Linked DNA regions of Xenopus tropicalis. The protein of the gene in region 1 interacts with the protein of each later gene in a biochemical or structural test. Links are inferred from orthologs where the notes say so. Each region holds a gene or a part of one and is shown on either strand. Other genes may lie near its edges.

Region 1 (3,550 bases):
ACCTGGAATCCCATCGATCTGTTTTTGCATCAAACTTGTATGTGGGAATAAAATTGATAGTGCCTTCCGTAAAATCAGAAAAGACGTTTTTCATCTCTCTTTGGATATTCAACTAAATGAAATGAAGGCACTAATTAAGAAATGTATTGAAAATAAAGCCATTATTCTTTACACAGTAGAACAAATAATTGCATGAGAATTACAAACCTTATTAGATATATACATGAAAAATGGGATAGCACACACAGATGGAGCAAACTTTCATCACATGGTGCACCATTTAACAGAATTTTGTTTATATGCGGGGGAAAAAAAAATATCTATTGATTATAATCCTTTCATGTAATTCACTTTCACTAAGCAACTCAACAAACTAAGCAACACAGACACAATAGGGTCAATGTTACCATGAGTCAATAAACCTATGTTAAATATGAATATTTTTGGAGTGTGGCAAGAAATAAGAGTACCCAGAAGAATGCCACACATACACAAGGGAAACAAGAACTCCTTGCTGGTAGTGGCATGGACAGAAGGGAATTTAGGACCCAGCACTACAAAGCAGCAGTGCTACCCACTGTGCCACAATGTTGCCAAAGTACTTGACTCTGTGGAACATAGTTAGCGAATGTTTTCCATCTGTACACAGTTAGTGTGCAGATTGATTACTCAACCCCTCCTCTCTTTACCTGGTCATATTTCAACAGAGTCTGAATGTCATTTTTCGCAATCAAGCTTTTGACCTCTGCAGCATCAAATTTGCACAGACGGTAGTTTAAGTCTCCCAGCCAAATAACAACGCTGCAAAAGAAAATATAGTTAAAGCAATAAAGTATAGAAAAACATTGCTGTGAGAAAATGTTAACAAGACCATAAAGGTGGCCATACACGGGCCGACTATAGCTGCCGATATCGGTCCCTTGGACCGATTCGGCAGCTAATCGGCCCGTGTATGGGGAGAGCAGAGCGGCCTGGCTGACCGAGATCTGGCCTGAAATTGGCCAGATCTCGATCGGCCAGGTTAGAAAATCTGGTCAGATCGGGGACCGCATCGGCTCGTTGATGCGGTCCCCGATCCGACTGCCCCATTGCCGCCCACATAATCCGATCGTTTGGCCCCAGGGCCAAACGATCAGATTATTTTTTTTTAACCTAAATGCTCCCCGATATCGCCCCCACCCGTAGGTGGGGATATCGGGGGAAGATCCGCTCGCTTGGCGACATCGCCAAGCGAGCGGATCTGCTCGTGTATGACCACCTTAAATGTGAATGCACTGAGCTGCTTATCTGGCAAATGGGTGTCTGTAATGAGAAATTATACAGAGATAAGGCCTTCATTTAGTAGAGTCTTGCCATGTTCCAATCTAAAGCCCCAGAAGGCTAGAGTGTCGAGAAAGAGTGACTGCAATCTGTTAAACTGCAGGACAACCTTCAAATATGTCTTATGAGGTGACCCATACTCAGAGTGAAGATGGCCAGGGAGTTAGGCCAAAACATTAGCCAGAAAAGGATAAAAATATGCATTGTTGCCATGCCATATATTTCTGCATGCTCTTACAAACATTTAGAACAGATTTTATGTCCTGAAATAGAAAATGATCGGTGCTTATTTGCACCCCAGGTTACTAAGAATAGTTGTTCCTGGTGTATATGAACAATTTCTGCACTACTTTCCTTTCACTTACACTGCAGAGAATAGTACCCTGATCAAAATTTTTTTTTTTTTTTTTTTTAAAGCAGCACACTTATAGCTACAGTGGAACTTACTCATGTTTCATTATATTTGAAATAGGTATGTTCTGGTCTGGAACAGTAAAGTTTAGACGGGCACAGATATCTTTGTAGTCTTGGTTTCTCCTCTCAAAGTCCTCCACGTGGGCAGCCAGATGAGAGTTAACAAAACAGAAGGAGGTGTTGTGGAAAACAAATCTAACGGCAACACCTCCCTTGTTACCCTAAAAGTGAGCAGAAGGTAAGGATAAATATATACATGAATAGAACACGTACAGAGTTTATAAGGTTTGTGTTTAAGGAGTTGTGATGAAGTGAATTCCTCTAAAAAGTTTTGTTTGTTAATCCCTAAATGTTAATTAACTTTGCTGGTAAGCAATCTAAGCAAATAGCTAATGTCTATAGAGCTTGTCTATGTGTTAAATTCAAAACTTTGCTATAGTATTAATTCAGGCTAATTTTCTAATTTAGGTCAGTTTTTCTTTGTGCCTTCGATGCACTGTGTTTTAAGTGGTGCGGAAACAACCGTGTATTAAAAGCTGTGCTTGCCACTTGTGCATACAGAAGTACTTACGGAGAGCTCCCAGACCAGCCACTTCCTAAAGGAGGGCAAGCCTCTTTGAATGATAGGGTAGATACTCACCACCTGGTGGCAGCACAGAATGGTCTTTGGGCTATAAAAGGATGCTAACAGATTTTTTTGGCATTTAGCTCTAGAGTTCTAAGATTGTGCTTGCAGGGTTACTGTTTTACAGTACTGTGTACTACTGATGAAAAAGGTGTACTGCAACTTTACAAATACATTTTGTTTTTTGTGCATTTGCCTAAAATAAAGGACACATTTCTGTCTGGTTACTGAACACACACCCAGTGACAGGAGTATCATAGTTAAAAAAAAATGTGGCATAGCAATAGTATTTCCCAAATGAAAGGAGTTGGCAGTTAGCATGATCATCACGCCTTGCTGTCAGACATTAGGATGAAAAACCCACAATGGCCCAGGGTGATAAGAGAAATGAAATTGCCAAATTCAAATAGCATTGCTGCTGCTGACAGAAGTGCAGGAACCTTTTGTATGTGTAGATAAAGCAGTGTCTAGAGACTTACTTTGTGTACGCAAATATATATGACTAACATTTAAATGAAAAGTAAGAAGTTTACTTCCTGGCCAAAAAAGTACATTTTAAATATTCAGTTCTATTAAAAGTGCTTGTATCTGGTAAATCCTCCTTGCATGGTCTATAAAGAACACGCTGACTACCAACCTGTATACTATTAAACTGATTTACTTGCCAACTTTAAGTAATAGTTAAGGCTTTACAGCTATAGGAGATGAATCGCTTGCTTGTGTGTGTTCCCTCTAATGAAAAAATATGAAAGTCCCCAACAATGTAAACTATGCCTGCATACTGTACAGACAAGTACACAATGTGGCAGCATTTAATCATTTTCAGTAAATACTCAAACTGCTAATAGAGTAGATAGGATTTTAATTTACTACTCTAAGTAGCAGTAATTAAGTAGTTTAAAATATAAAGATTTTTCCATGTTAAGAGACTTGGAAATTGGTTCTCTGGCTCTAAAGCACAAGTAGTATTATTCACTGGACCCTAACCATCCAGGCAGAACAAATACTTCAAAAAGAAACTGTGATCCTTGCTACTGCTGTTGAAACTTTCATTCATCCCTTGGTTTGGGTAATTCTGGTCAGGTGCATATATTTAATGGCAGCATTTATTGCTGCTATATCTTCTATCAGACAACTGGAAAATCAATGCATAAGACTATAATGTAGAGCATGAGGGCTCCCCTAAACATG
Region 2 (3,550 bases), on another chromosome or scaffold:
CTCCTCTGAAATATAAAATCAAAAAAGGACCAAAATTCAGTGTAGTAATATCACAGAAACAGCCCCTCTATAGTTCATTTTAAATATTACCAAAAGACTTCCACAGCCTGTGGCCTTCCAGCTGCAGGGAAATGGCGAGAGTTGCAGAACTGCAGCTGGTAGCAGAAAGTTCCAAATTACGGAAAGCCTGTCTCCCACAGACTCCATTGTAAGTAAATAATTATAATTTTTAAAAGTGATTTCCATTTTTTCTCTAATAATAAAACATTACCTTGTACTTGATCCTAATTAAGATATTTAAGATAATTAATGGAGGCAAAACAATCCTATTGGGTTTATTCAATATTTAAAGGATTTTTAGCAGACTTAAATTATGGAGATCCAAATTACGGAACAATCCCTTATCCAGAAAACCCCAGGTCCCAAGCATTCTGGATAACAGGCCCCATACCTGTATAATGATAAGCCTATTATGTAAACTGCTATCTATATTCTTGGTTACTTGGGCACATGGGTGGTAAAATGTAATCTGGCTCTAACTCCAGATCCTGATATTCTAAACATAATAAAGAGCAACATAAAGTGTGTGCAAAACAGAGAAAAGCAACGTTACATTTTCCTCTGAAGTTTTCCATCTGATCAGGAATTAAACCAGTCCAGTGTTACCAAATGACAGCAATGGGAGTCATACAGACAAATTGTTATAAATCACAGTATTAAAGGAAATCTAATGCATAGACAGGTTTGTTACGACACATTTGGCCTTTAAAGGGAGCTGCTGAGCCGAAGCGTCTAAAACTGCCAATATCTCAGAAAAGTGAAAGTAAATTTCATGAGTTCTCAGAGAAGTATTATGAATACATTTACATAAATATCTGTTTTTAAGCTTATATACCCTTTAGTAGAATTTACACAAGTAAGGCAAAGACATATCACCCTCTCACACACAACTATGTTGGCTGGTGCCCTATAGCTCTAGATATCAGATTAACGATTGATTTAAGGTAATTGGATACTCAGCAGCTCATTCAACAAATGATGTGTGCAGTTCTGCAATGTCAGCAGTGAGCCTGCAGTGTACCTGCCCAGCCCTCACCTAAGCAGCTAGGCCACACCAAATGACCTAATCACTCATATGACTCTAGCCTTAAAGGCATCCTCCCCACAAAAACTATTTTTTGCATGATAAAAGCATATACAATCATGAGCGACTTAACATTTATAGATTTCAGTGGGTTTACAGTATTTGCACATGTAATTGCAGTTAAAAGCACTCCTGGCTCGGACTACAGAAACAATGTTGCAAGCCAGCTAATTAAAGCTGATTTATAGACCTGGCTCCTGTTACAGTTTTAAGAGACAGTCCAGTTGAACAGAAAGGGTTAAACAGTGTTTTAAACTTCAATTTCATTTAGGGAAACCTGTGCACTAAATCCATTATAAGGATTTGGCTGAACCCCAAATCCTTTGTGAAAGATTCAGCCGAATACTGGACCGAATCTGAATCCTAAAATTTCCATATGCAAACGGAGATGAAGAAGGGGATAGAGAACAACGTGTTCTAAGTATGGCCAGAGGCATGGATTAGGCCGAATCCTGCTGGAAAATGCCGAATCCTGAATTCATGCATCCCCACTATATTGTTAATAAAGTACTTTCTATTGTAAAGTATAAAGTCACCTCAGAGTTCCAGGACCCTGCCTGTGGCCTCATTATTTTAAATGGTCATGGAACTGCTTGGTGACTAATAATTTGGGGTACCATTCAATATATAATGTATATATTTGTGATGTTTTGATTACATTTTTAAATACAGCTGTAATACTTTGCAATATTTCTCTGACCTCCAATTGTGCTCTCTTGGAATTCGTGAAACTGTCCCTTTACGAAGCGAAGCACTAGACTAGACTTTCCAACTGCGGATTCTCCTAAAAGGACAAGTTTAAACTGACAGATTTTATTTCCTGCATTCGGTCCATTCGGTCTGGTAGCTCCGCCTCGGTTTGCCATGTTTGATTGTAGGCAAAACGTCTGATGATTACAAAGTCGGCTGCAGCCCAATAAGCAAAGGGTGGGTTGGATGCTCACTTATCCTTCTGGCAATCTATTAAATGAGAACATAATACAGTGTGTATTAATATACAAACATCCAAATAAATGACTGATTTTAGAAACCTTATTGAGTGCTACTCCGTTATAACAAAACCAAAAACACACTAACTAAAACATTTATCCACCAACAGAGTAAAATGAAAACATTCATCCACCAACAGAGAAAAATGGATAACAGTACATATGAAAGAGAGGGGAAAAAGGGTTACCCAGGTTCAGTAACACACAGCAGACAATAACAGGTAATTATACTTTTTATTACATAACCTCCTTAAAGGCTACAAATACCCAAAGATACCAGCATCCCATGTCTTAAAATGTAGTAAGCAAATTCTTACCACTGACTGGGAAGCTATAGAAGATATTGGTAATGAAGAGTTAGTCCAGAAAATGTATACAATATGCATATTTGTGGACAATAGGCCAATAGGCAGACAATTCTCTGTGGAACCCCTTATGGCTTCAGCAGTTGCATCTGTGGGGTTTAAAAATCTGACCTACTTTTTCAAAGGTTTCTCAATATACAGATGGGCCTACAGTGCAGTCAGATGAGGACCGCAGCAACAAACCAATACGGTCCTTATCAGACAGTAAAATTAAACCAGCCGAAATGACATGTAGCTAATTTTTGGAGAAATATCAGTTGAATAAGCCCACCGGGGGGCCCATATACACGCTATGTATGGCCACCTTAGAGAAAAAGTAAAAACAAATGTGGGTAGAAATGCCATATTTTATAATACTGCACAAGCCTAAATTTTAATAACTTATACAACAGTAATGATTCAGACAAATGCAAATCACCATCTTTGAGCATGTGCAGTTTTACAGACACTCCTAAAAAAAAAAATCAGTGAGCAACTGCTGACAAGCTAAACTTGGGGATTGTAGCAAATTATCAAACAGAAAATAAGGTTTGTCTGTCATATAGGGTGATGCTACCGGGCTGACTATTAAATTCTGATATTCACTGCACTGGTTTCTGAGCTGCCATGTGATGAGAATTTTAATTATTTACTAATCAGTCTTTAAATTGTGACTATTATATTCTCTACATACAGTATAATGTGAGTGGGTCCCTAAGCTCAGTAAGTGACAGCAGCACAGAGCATGTGCAGAGAATCAGCAGAAAAGAAGATGGGGAGCTACTGGGGACAACTTCGGATTCACAGATCTTCACTGCTAAAAGGCTGTGGTTGCCTTGAGCTGATACAGAACCTCAAAATATAATGTGTAGCATTTCTAGCCTACTTTTTTTTAGCAAGCTCCAGTTCTCCTTTAAGCCTGTTGAGCCACTGGGCAGACAGGTGGCCAAGAAAAGCACTTTGAGGGCCCTCAGGGCATCCAGATGTACAATCCATGCCTAAAACACAGACAATCAAATTAAATTATATTGTACAGTGTACTTATGTGCAAAAGAGCAACACAAGTTAACACT
Region 3 (3,550 bases), on another chromosome or scaffold:
ATGAAATGACAGACCCAGATTTGTCCACTTCTCATTAAATGGATTCACAATTTTTAATTTTAATTTTTACGTTGACCCAACGGACATTAAATTGTTAATAAATTCTGTGGTAGATGCACAACAGCCCACTGCAATTAAAAAACATAAGTTCTCCATACATTTCAAATAAAGCAAAGAGAAGTCTCTGCAAAAAAATAAATACAGCCATAGTTTGTTTTTCACATGGGAATGTTACATTAATACACTGACATTTTTATATATTATGTATATAATGTACAATGTAACTGAAAAAACAAAGTTATATTGATTTAATTACCTAGTGTCAGACAGGTCACATTTGTTTCCAGCAATGGCCATAACAATGTTCTCTGGTCCATGTTCTTTTAATTCTTTTACCCATTTCTTTAGTGTATGAAAGGTATCCTGTTTACCAACATAATAAAGAAGATAAAAGTGTTTCCACCACATAGAATTTTCAACATTCCTTTTTATATTTACTAATAGTGGGACCCTGTCAATGAAGGAAATCAAAGCCAAAAGCTGTAGTGAGGATGTGGGGGGTTGTAATTTAATATGTAAATGGAAATTATTCTGTAAATGTATAATCATTTTCTTTTTGCTTTATTCCCTTAGATTCTATAAAGGTGCTGTTTCAGCTGACACCTTCTCCCTACTTTATCAGCCATGGTCTTTTGGATTTTCTTTGCCATAACTTTTCTTATTATCTCCTATAGCCCACTATGTTATAACCCCCTAAAAATAAACCAGAGGAAGCATTACTGGGCGGGGCAAACTGGACTCTAAATTGATCTCTCCATTGCAGAGATAACTCTCAAGGTTTCTTTATAGCTATAAAGATTGATACCATTAAACTACATCACCTCTGGTGTTTCCCTAAGGCTAAGACCAATTCAGCAGGAAAACTGTAATGTATAGTGGGTCAATAATGCCCTGCAGTGTCTTGCCTTTCAGCCTTACCCAGTCCTTCCTATGGTTCTGCGTTCTGGTATCCTATTGCCTTGTTACCTTAATGTTCTGCCCTGTCCTCCCACGTGCATTGCTTTCTTGTAGGCCCGTATTTGACCTTCTGTTGTTTAGTTTCATTAATTTTCTGCCCTGCTGTGGCTCCTTTACTTTAAAACTCAGCATTGGCACTACTAAAATCCAATCAGCTGCTTTCTGTCTCTCGTATCCGTGTATTGACAAGCATAGGATCAGCCAGAACTGATCTTGGACTTTCTAAAATCTGCTGTGTGTGTGCAGATCTATGCCTATCAACATCACACACACGTACAAGGTTAAGGAAGTCGATCAAGTTTTTCACTGGTGTATAAAATAGTGACAAATGTGCAATTAGCCTAAACCCTGTCAGGCCACACCTTGATATTCACAAGCTCTTCACAAGAGTTTTCCAGCCTGGATTTTTACATATGAAGGTTCCTCCATCTCTAAACCCTTAGCTACAGGCTTCAGGGTGCAGGAATGTTTCCGTCATAGAGTAAGGTGGCAAGTGGCACATGCAGGGGTAGCCATCGACTTCAAAATCAACTATGATGCTAGGGGTGTACGGGCAGCTGGGTATTGGGGTATTTAACGCCATTACTGTATACACTATTATATTCATTAACCAACCTGCTTTGTGATGTCATATACGATAACTGCAGCAGCAGAGCCTCTGTAGTACATTGGTGCCAGGGAATGAAACTAGAATTACATATTACTGTTTGCGTTAAAACATATAAAAAAATAAGGATCACAGTAAAATTAAACAATTTAAAACAATCTTTAATTACTTTTTAATATTCTTGCGATATACATCAGGATGACACACTATGCCCTAATAAAAATTGCAGTAGGTGATATAATATACCCTTTATATTTCACATGTATTCTCTCTATAGCCCTTTTAAGATCAGCCTCTCTGGGCCCCAGCCATTTGTTGTTTGAAGTCTACCTTTGAGTTCCCCACACTTTGGACACTTTGAAATCTATCCTAATCTTCCAGCACCCTAACCTAAATAAAGATCATTCCTCCAGTATCCCTCTACCCAGTGGTACAATGTTATGTCTATCCCCAACATCTGTCAAGAAGCAAAGATTGGATCTGTTATCTAGAAACCCATTATGCATAAAGCGCAGAAACATGGGAAGAAACTATTTAACAGTACATTTTAAGCTCAAAATTCTTATTGCTGCTTCTTTTCCAGATCTTCTATGTCTGTATTGGTCAGAATACAATCTATCAGGTTTTTTTTAATTTCACCATTTTTTAATAGACGTTTGGCACAGTGCTCCAAATTACAGAAGTGCTGTAATGGCAGAATATGTGGATTTCTATATCCATCTATATCTATATGAATATGCAGAATATATTTTTCAACAATTTTTATTTCTTTTTGCTATAATGCTATCAATAGATAGCTTTATATGCTATTACACTAATAAACAAAGTCAAATAACTTTCCCATACAAACGTTTACATACTTACACGCTCTTGACCAGCAGTATCCCAAATCAAAAATTTATGCAGCTCATTTCCAGAAGGAACAGTCTTCGTCATAAATGAAGCCCTGTGTGAGAGAAAAAGGATCGTTTTTTTATGGTGGAGAAAACAGAAAATTGTTTTAGGTTGTAATCAAAAAAGGGGGCAAATATCAGTATAATAGTATTTTTTTTCTATGAGCAAATTTGTACGTAGGGTAACTCATAGCAACCAATTAGCTTTATAAATAACTAGGCACATTAGAGAGCCGGTGGACGACACATTAATCTTCTGATCAATGTAACTTTTCCACATTGCTACTACCCCAGTTGTAAATATTATGGAATAAAAACCCCTGGACCATATCACAGACATTAAAAGCTGTAGGCCTCATTTACTAATCCCACTGGTGGATCTGTACTTATGGGACATGTAAAGTGTATTTCACTGGGGGGTGAAATAGATTGCTGTGGAAAAACCTCCCTAAATGCTGCACCAGCATTTTACTTACCTTTCTACTGGCATCCCAAGAGTTACTTGGGAAAATCTGTGTTTGTGCACGCAGGTCTAATCTACTGCGAATGCACAGAACACCAAGTGGCAAATGATCAAAGGTATTGAGATGCCAGCACAGTGCTTAGGTAGCGTTTTCATAGGCTGGTGCAGTTTCTTATAACTTGTCTGAGGTGAGTTTTTCAACTCACTTCATGGCAGCAGCACCCCTGAAGTTACCTGGGGTGACAAAAAGCTGCTCCTGGAAAACTTAAAGAGCCAACATTGTTATCGTCAATATAGAAATACCAAATGCAGGCTGCGCTGTATTCATGGAAAGGTCTTTGTACTCCAGATGCAAAGACCTTTCCATGAATACAGCGCAGCCTGCATTTGGTATTTCTATATGGACTATGCCTAACCCAGCACTTTGTACAACTGGTAAATAATTGTGAGTAAACTTAAATAATTCTATGTATCTCTTGGGGCATTTTAGTTGGAAGTGGCAAACAGGAAAACAAATGCAAGCAACTGTGGATGTTTGCTATTTACCACTCCTAATAAAGACATTCACAG
Region 4 (3,550 bases), on another chromosome or scaffold:
CAGTCTATGAAGTTCTACTCCAACCCTCATTAGAATAAAGGGAAGAACAAGCTATGAAACCCAGACCAGTGTGGGAAATTAAGTGTTAAATACCTGCTTTTTAGTACCAATATCTGGCACAGGAGCACAAAGCAGCCATTAAATACTTATACTTACCATCCTCTTATCCATTTTTGCTTTGATGTCTCTTGCCAATGTAAAAAATGCCTGTGAAAAGATAGAAGAACTTGATATCAAAAGCAATACTATGAGTGGGTGATTCCTTTAATCTCTTGCCTATATAGTACAAGTACTAGACAACAATAAACACTCTTTGGGGCTGATTTACTAAGACACGAATTCGAATTGGAAAAATTCCGACTGGAAAACGAACATTTTGCGACTTTTTCGTATTTTTTGCGATTTTTTAGTCGCCTTTACGACTTTTCGGAAATTGTCGCAACTTTTTCGTAACCATTACGACTTGCGCGAAAAAACGAGAGTTTTTCGTAGCCATTACGATTCGCTCGTATCTTGTCGCGACTTTTTCGTATTGAGCGCTCGTAAGCGGCGGGCGAAACTTTCAGACTTAGCATGATTTTGGAAGCCTCCCATAGGACTCAATGGCACCCTGCAGCTCCAACCTGGCCCAAGAAAAGTCACCATGCTGAAGCTTGAATGAATCTGAATCTTTCGTACTCGGCGCGAAAGCTGCGAAAAAGTCGCGACTTTTCGCGCAAGTCGTAAGGCTACGAAAAAATCGCAACATTTTGCGCAACATTCGGAATGGCTATGAAAAAGTTGCGTCAATTTTCAGAAAAATTGCAAAATACCGATCATTACGGAAAAAACGCAATCGGACGCATTCGGCCCGTTCGTGGGTTAGTAAATGTGCCCCTTTGTATCTCTATATAGAAAGATGAAAACACTGGCAAAACACTGACCCCAAACATGAAGTAAAAGTGGAGGTTTCTTAAAAACATACAAAAATTTATTTTAGATTCTCCAGGAATAAATACATACATAAATCACAACACACAAAGATCAGACACATATAGGTTATTATTTCTGGTTACGGCCCCCTAAACTCATATTCATACATACACTTGCATAGGTATTCCACAAATCTTACCATAACCTGGACCCACTTAGATGCAGCTTTGGGCCTCCATTTTGGAACTACTATTGTGTCCGCATAAAAGTATCATACCAACACTATAGATTCTATGTTTCAGGGCTCTATTTTGACATGTGGAACTGTTACTAAGTCCATTGCACAAAGGGTTAAAAAGGCAAAACAGACAACAAAAAGGCCATATGGAAGGGTTGTTATAAATATTGGGAGTTAACATTCTACCCCAAAAAATATCCCGGCGTTTTCTGGTGCCCCATTGGTTGTCCTATAGTGCTGGGTAATGATTGCATCAATGAAGAGCCATCAGGCACAGGGTACAGTACCATGTTGCGTGGTTTTTTCTCACTACACAGCACTACAGATTTTTCTTTTTTTTTTGCCGATACGAAAGAATATGGAAAGTTGCAGAAAAATGCTCGGACTTCTATAAAACACCCACTGCCTTTTTGACTATAGAAAACCTATGACTATATTGTTTGCTGACCACTCTTCACTTTAACCTGTTTTGATTGTTAAGGGAACAGTAACACCAAAAAATTTAAGAGTTTTAAAGTAAAAGAAATATAATGTACTGTTGCCCTGCACTGGTAAAAGTTGTGTGTTTGCTACAGTAACTCTACTATAGTTTATATAAATAAGCTGCTGTGTAGCCATGGGGGCAGCCATTCAAGCTGGAAAAAAGGAGAAAAGGCACAGGTTACATAGCAGATAACGGATAAGCTCTGTAGAATACAATAGTGTTTCTGTTATCTGCTAAGTGCCTGTGCCTTTTCTCCTTTGAATGGCTGCCCCCATGGCTACACAGCTGCATTCTTTATATAAACCATAGTAGTGTTTCTGAGGCAAACTCACCAGTTGTACCAGTGCAGAGCAGCAGTACATACACTTGAATTTTTTTGGTGTTACTGTTCCTTTAAGGGTGTCTACCAATGAACATTACTCTCCCCGCTTACTGAATTAAGCACGTTCAGTCTACTTACATTTTCCACATTGATATTTGCCTTTGCACTTGTCTCCATGAACTTAATTCCATATTCAAGGGCCAGCTGAAATACAAACAGTGATATTGCTAGTTATTTGAGGCACTGTACTATTTGCTTGTTCGGGGGCTCACAGTCCTTCCCACTACAGATAAAAAAAAACTGATTTATATTTCAATTAGCGCTCGCGCTCACCCAGTTAATTAGTAGGTTCGGGTGCTTATGCCGCAAACCTTTCGCTTATCACTTTTTTCTCTCTTTGTTCTGGGGAATTTATGCTCATATGTAAGTTCAAAATGCAGGATGCTCACTCACCACTTCCTTTTGGTGGCCCGGGTGCCATGCCCCAGACCCGCAGCATGGGGAGATTCAACTTCAATAGCCAGCACAAAACAGCATGCACTCATCGGACTCCAGGACAGCGGATAAAATTTCAAAAAAGCTTTATTAAGGATAAAAACCTAACCGTTAGGTTTTTATCCTTAATAAAGCTTTTTTGAATTTTTATCCGCTGTCCTGGAGTCCGACGAGTGCATGCTGTTTTGTGCTGGCTATTGAAGTTATTTGAGGCAGAAAAAAAAAAATTGGTAATGGATATGCTTCTATATTTTCTCTAAATATTTTAAACAAATGCACCACATTCTTATGTCTCTATCCTTTAGCCTCATTCTTTCAATATTCACCTTACTACATACTGGGTAATATTCTAAACTATATGAACAAAAAAATGCACCAGATTCTATTTTCCTGAGGTTAATACTTAAATTAAAGTCCAAGGAAACTGAGAAACAATTGCTCAGCCTTTCCCATTGCCCAACACCATATTTATTTTATGCAAAACTGTTAACATGTATTAACATGACCCTGCCCTGAATATCCTTGCACATATATCCCACTGACAACATCATTCCTCTCTTCATTCTTCCTTTAATATGTCAAGTCTAATTTGGACTACAGGAGCACTTACATTAAGCACATGTGACACCAGCCAAATAAATAAATTATATATATATATATATATATATATATATATATATATATATAATATATATATATTTTTTTGGGGGGGGGATGATTGGCGAGTGGATATGCACTATTTTTATGCCCTGGCAGAGTAATGCTCAGAGTTTTCTTCTACTTAAAAGGGCTAAAGATTGGTTATTGTTATAAAGCATTTGGAAACTTATTTTTCATATATTTTTAAATGTACCCAAACAGGACCTCATAGCTCGTTTACCTATTCACAGCTTAATGGGTTTTAAGCTCAGATATCAGAACACCAAAACTGTTAAATAACTCTTACCTTTTCACCCTTCTCTTTGGAAACTTGTCGCTTTTCATTCACATCACATTTGTTTCCTAGGATCATTTTCTCAACATCAGAGGATGCATGCTGGAAGGCAAAGAGTGTAAAGGTTTATATTTGCATCGAGAACTTGTCAGTCAGAATAGTATG

The links. The genes of interacting proteins can lie anywhere in the genome.
Region 2: the proteins of ocrl (region 1) and rab5a form a complex in vitro, tested with the Homo sapiens proteins (2 studies listed by BioGRID and IntAct, with this or other methods). The link is inferred for Xenopus tropicalis from reciprocal best matches to the Homo sapiens genes OCRL and RAB5A.
Region 3: the proteins of ocrl (region 1) and rab31 form a complex in vitro, tested with the Homo sapiens proteins (2 studies listed by BioGRID and IntAct, with this or other methods). The link is inferred for Xenopus tropicalis from reciprocal best matches to the Homo sapiens genes OCRL and RAB31.
Region 4: the proteins of ocrl (region 1) and rab8a form a complex in vitro, tested with the Homo sapiens proteins (2 studies listed by BioGRID and IntAct, with this or other methods). The link is inferred for Xenopus tropicalis from reciprocal best matches to the Homo sapiens genes OCRL and RAB8A.

The regions. Positions count from the first base shown.
Region 1 is NC_030684.2:52,492,669-52,496,218, forward strand, and holds part of ocrl (inositol polyphosphate 5-phosphatase OCRL), read right to left. Parts: intron 1,956-3,550; coding exon 1,768-1,955; intron 802-1,767; coding exon 690-801; intron 113-689; coding exon 3-112; intron 1-2. UniProt on the Homo sapiens protein: Catalyzes the hydrolysis of the 5-position phosphate of phosphatidylinositol 4,5-bisphosphate (PtdIns(4,5)P2) and phosphatidylinositol-3,4,5-bisphosphate (PtdIns(3,4,5)P3), with the greatest catalytic activity towards PtdIns(4,5)P2.
Region 2 is NC_030682.2:45,578,571-45,582,120, reverse strand, and holds part of rab5a (ras-related protein Rab-5A), read right to left. Parts: intron 2,105-3,550; 5' UTR 2,011-2,104; coding exon 1,845-2,010; intron 1-1,844. UniProt on the Homo sapiens protein: The small GTPases Rab are key regulators of intracellular membrane trafficking, from the formation of transport vesicles to their fusion with membranes.
Region 3 is NC_030682.2:104,653,638-104,657,187, reverse strand, and holds part of rab31 (ras-related protein Rab-31), read right to left. Parts: intron 2,571-3,550; coding exon 2,489-2,570; intron 1,705-2,488; coding exon 1,633-1,704; intron 424-1,632; coding exon 317-423; intron 1-316. UniProt on the Homo sapiens protein: The small GTPases Rab are key regulators of intracellular membrane trafficking, from the formation of transport vesicles to their fusion with membranes.
Region 4 is NC_030677.2:104,435,911-104,439,460, reverse strand, and holds part of rab8a (ras-related protein Rab-8A), read right to left. Parts: intron 3,488-3,550; coding exon 3,398-3,487; intron 2,161-3,397; coding exon 2,095-2,160; intron 208-2,094; coding exon 157-207; intron 1-156. UniProt on the Homo sapiens protein: The small GTPases Rab are key regulators of intracellular membrane trafficking, from the formation of transport vesicles to their fusion with membranes.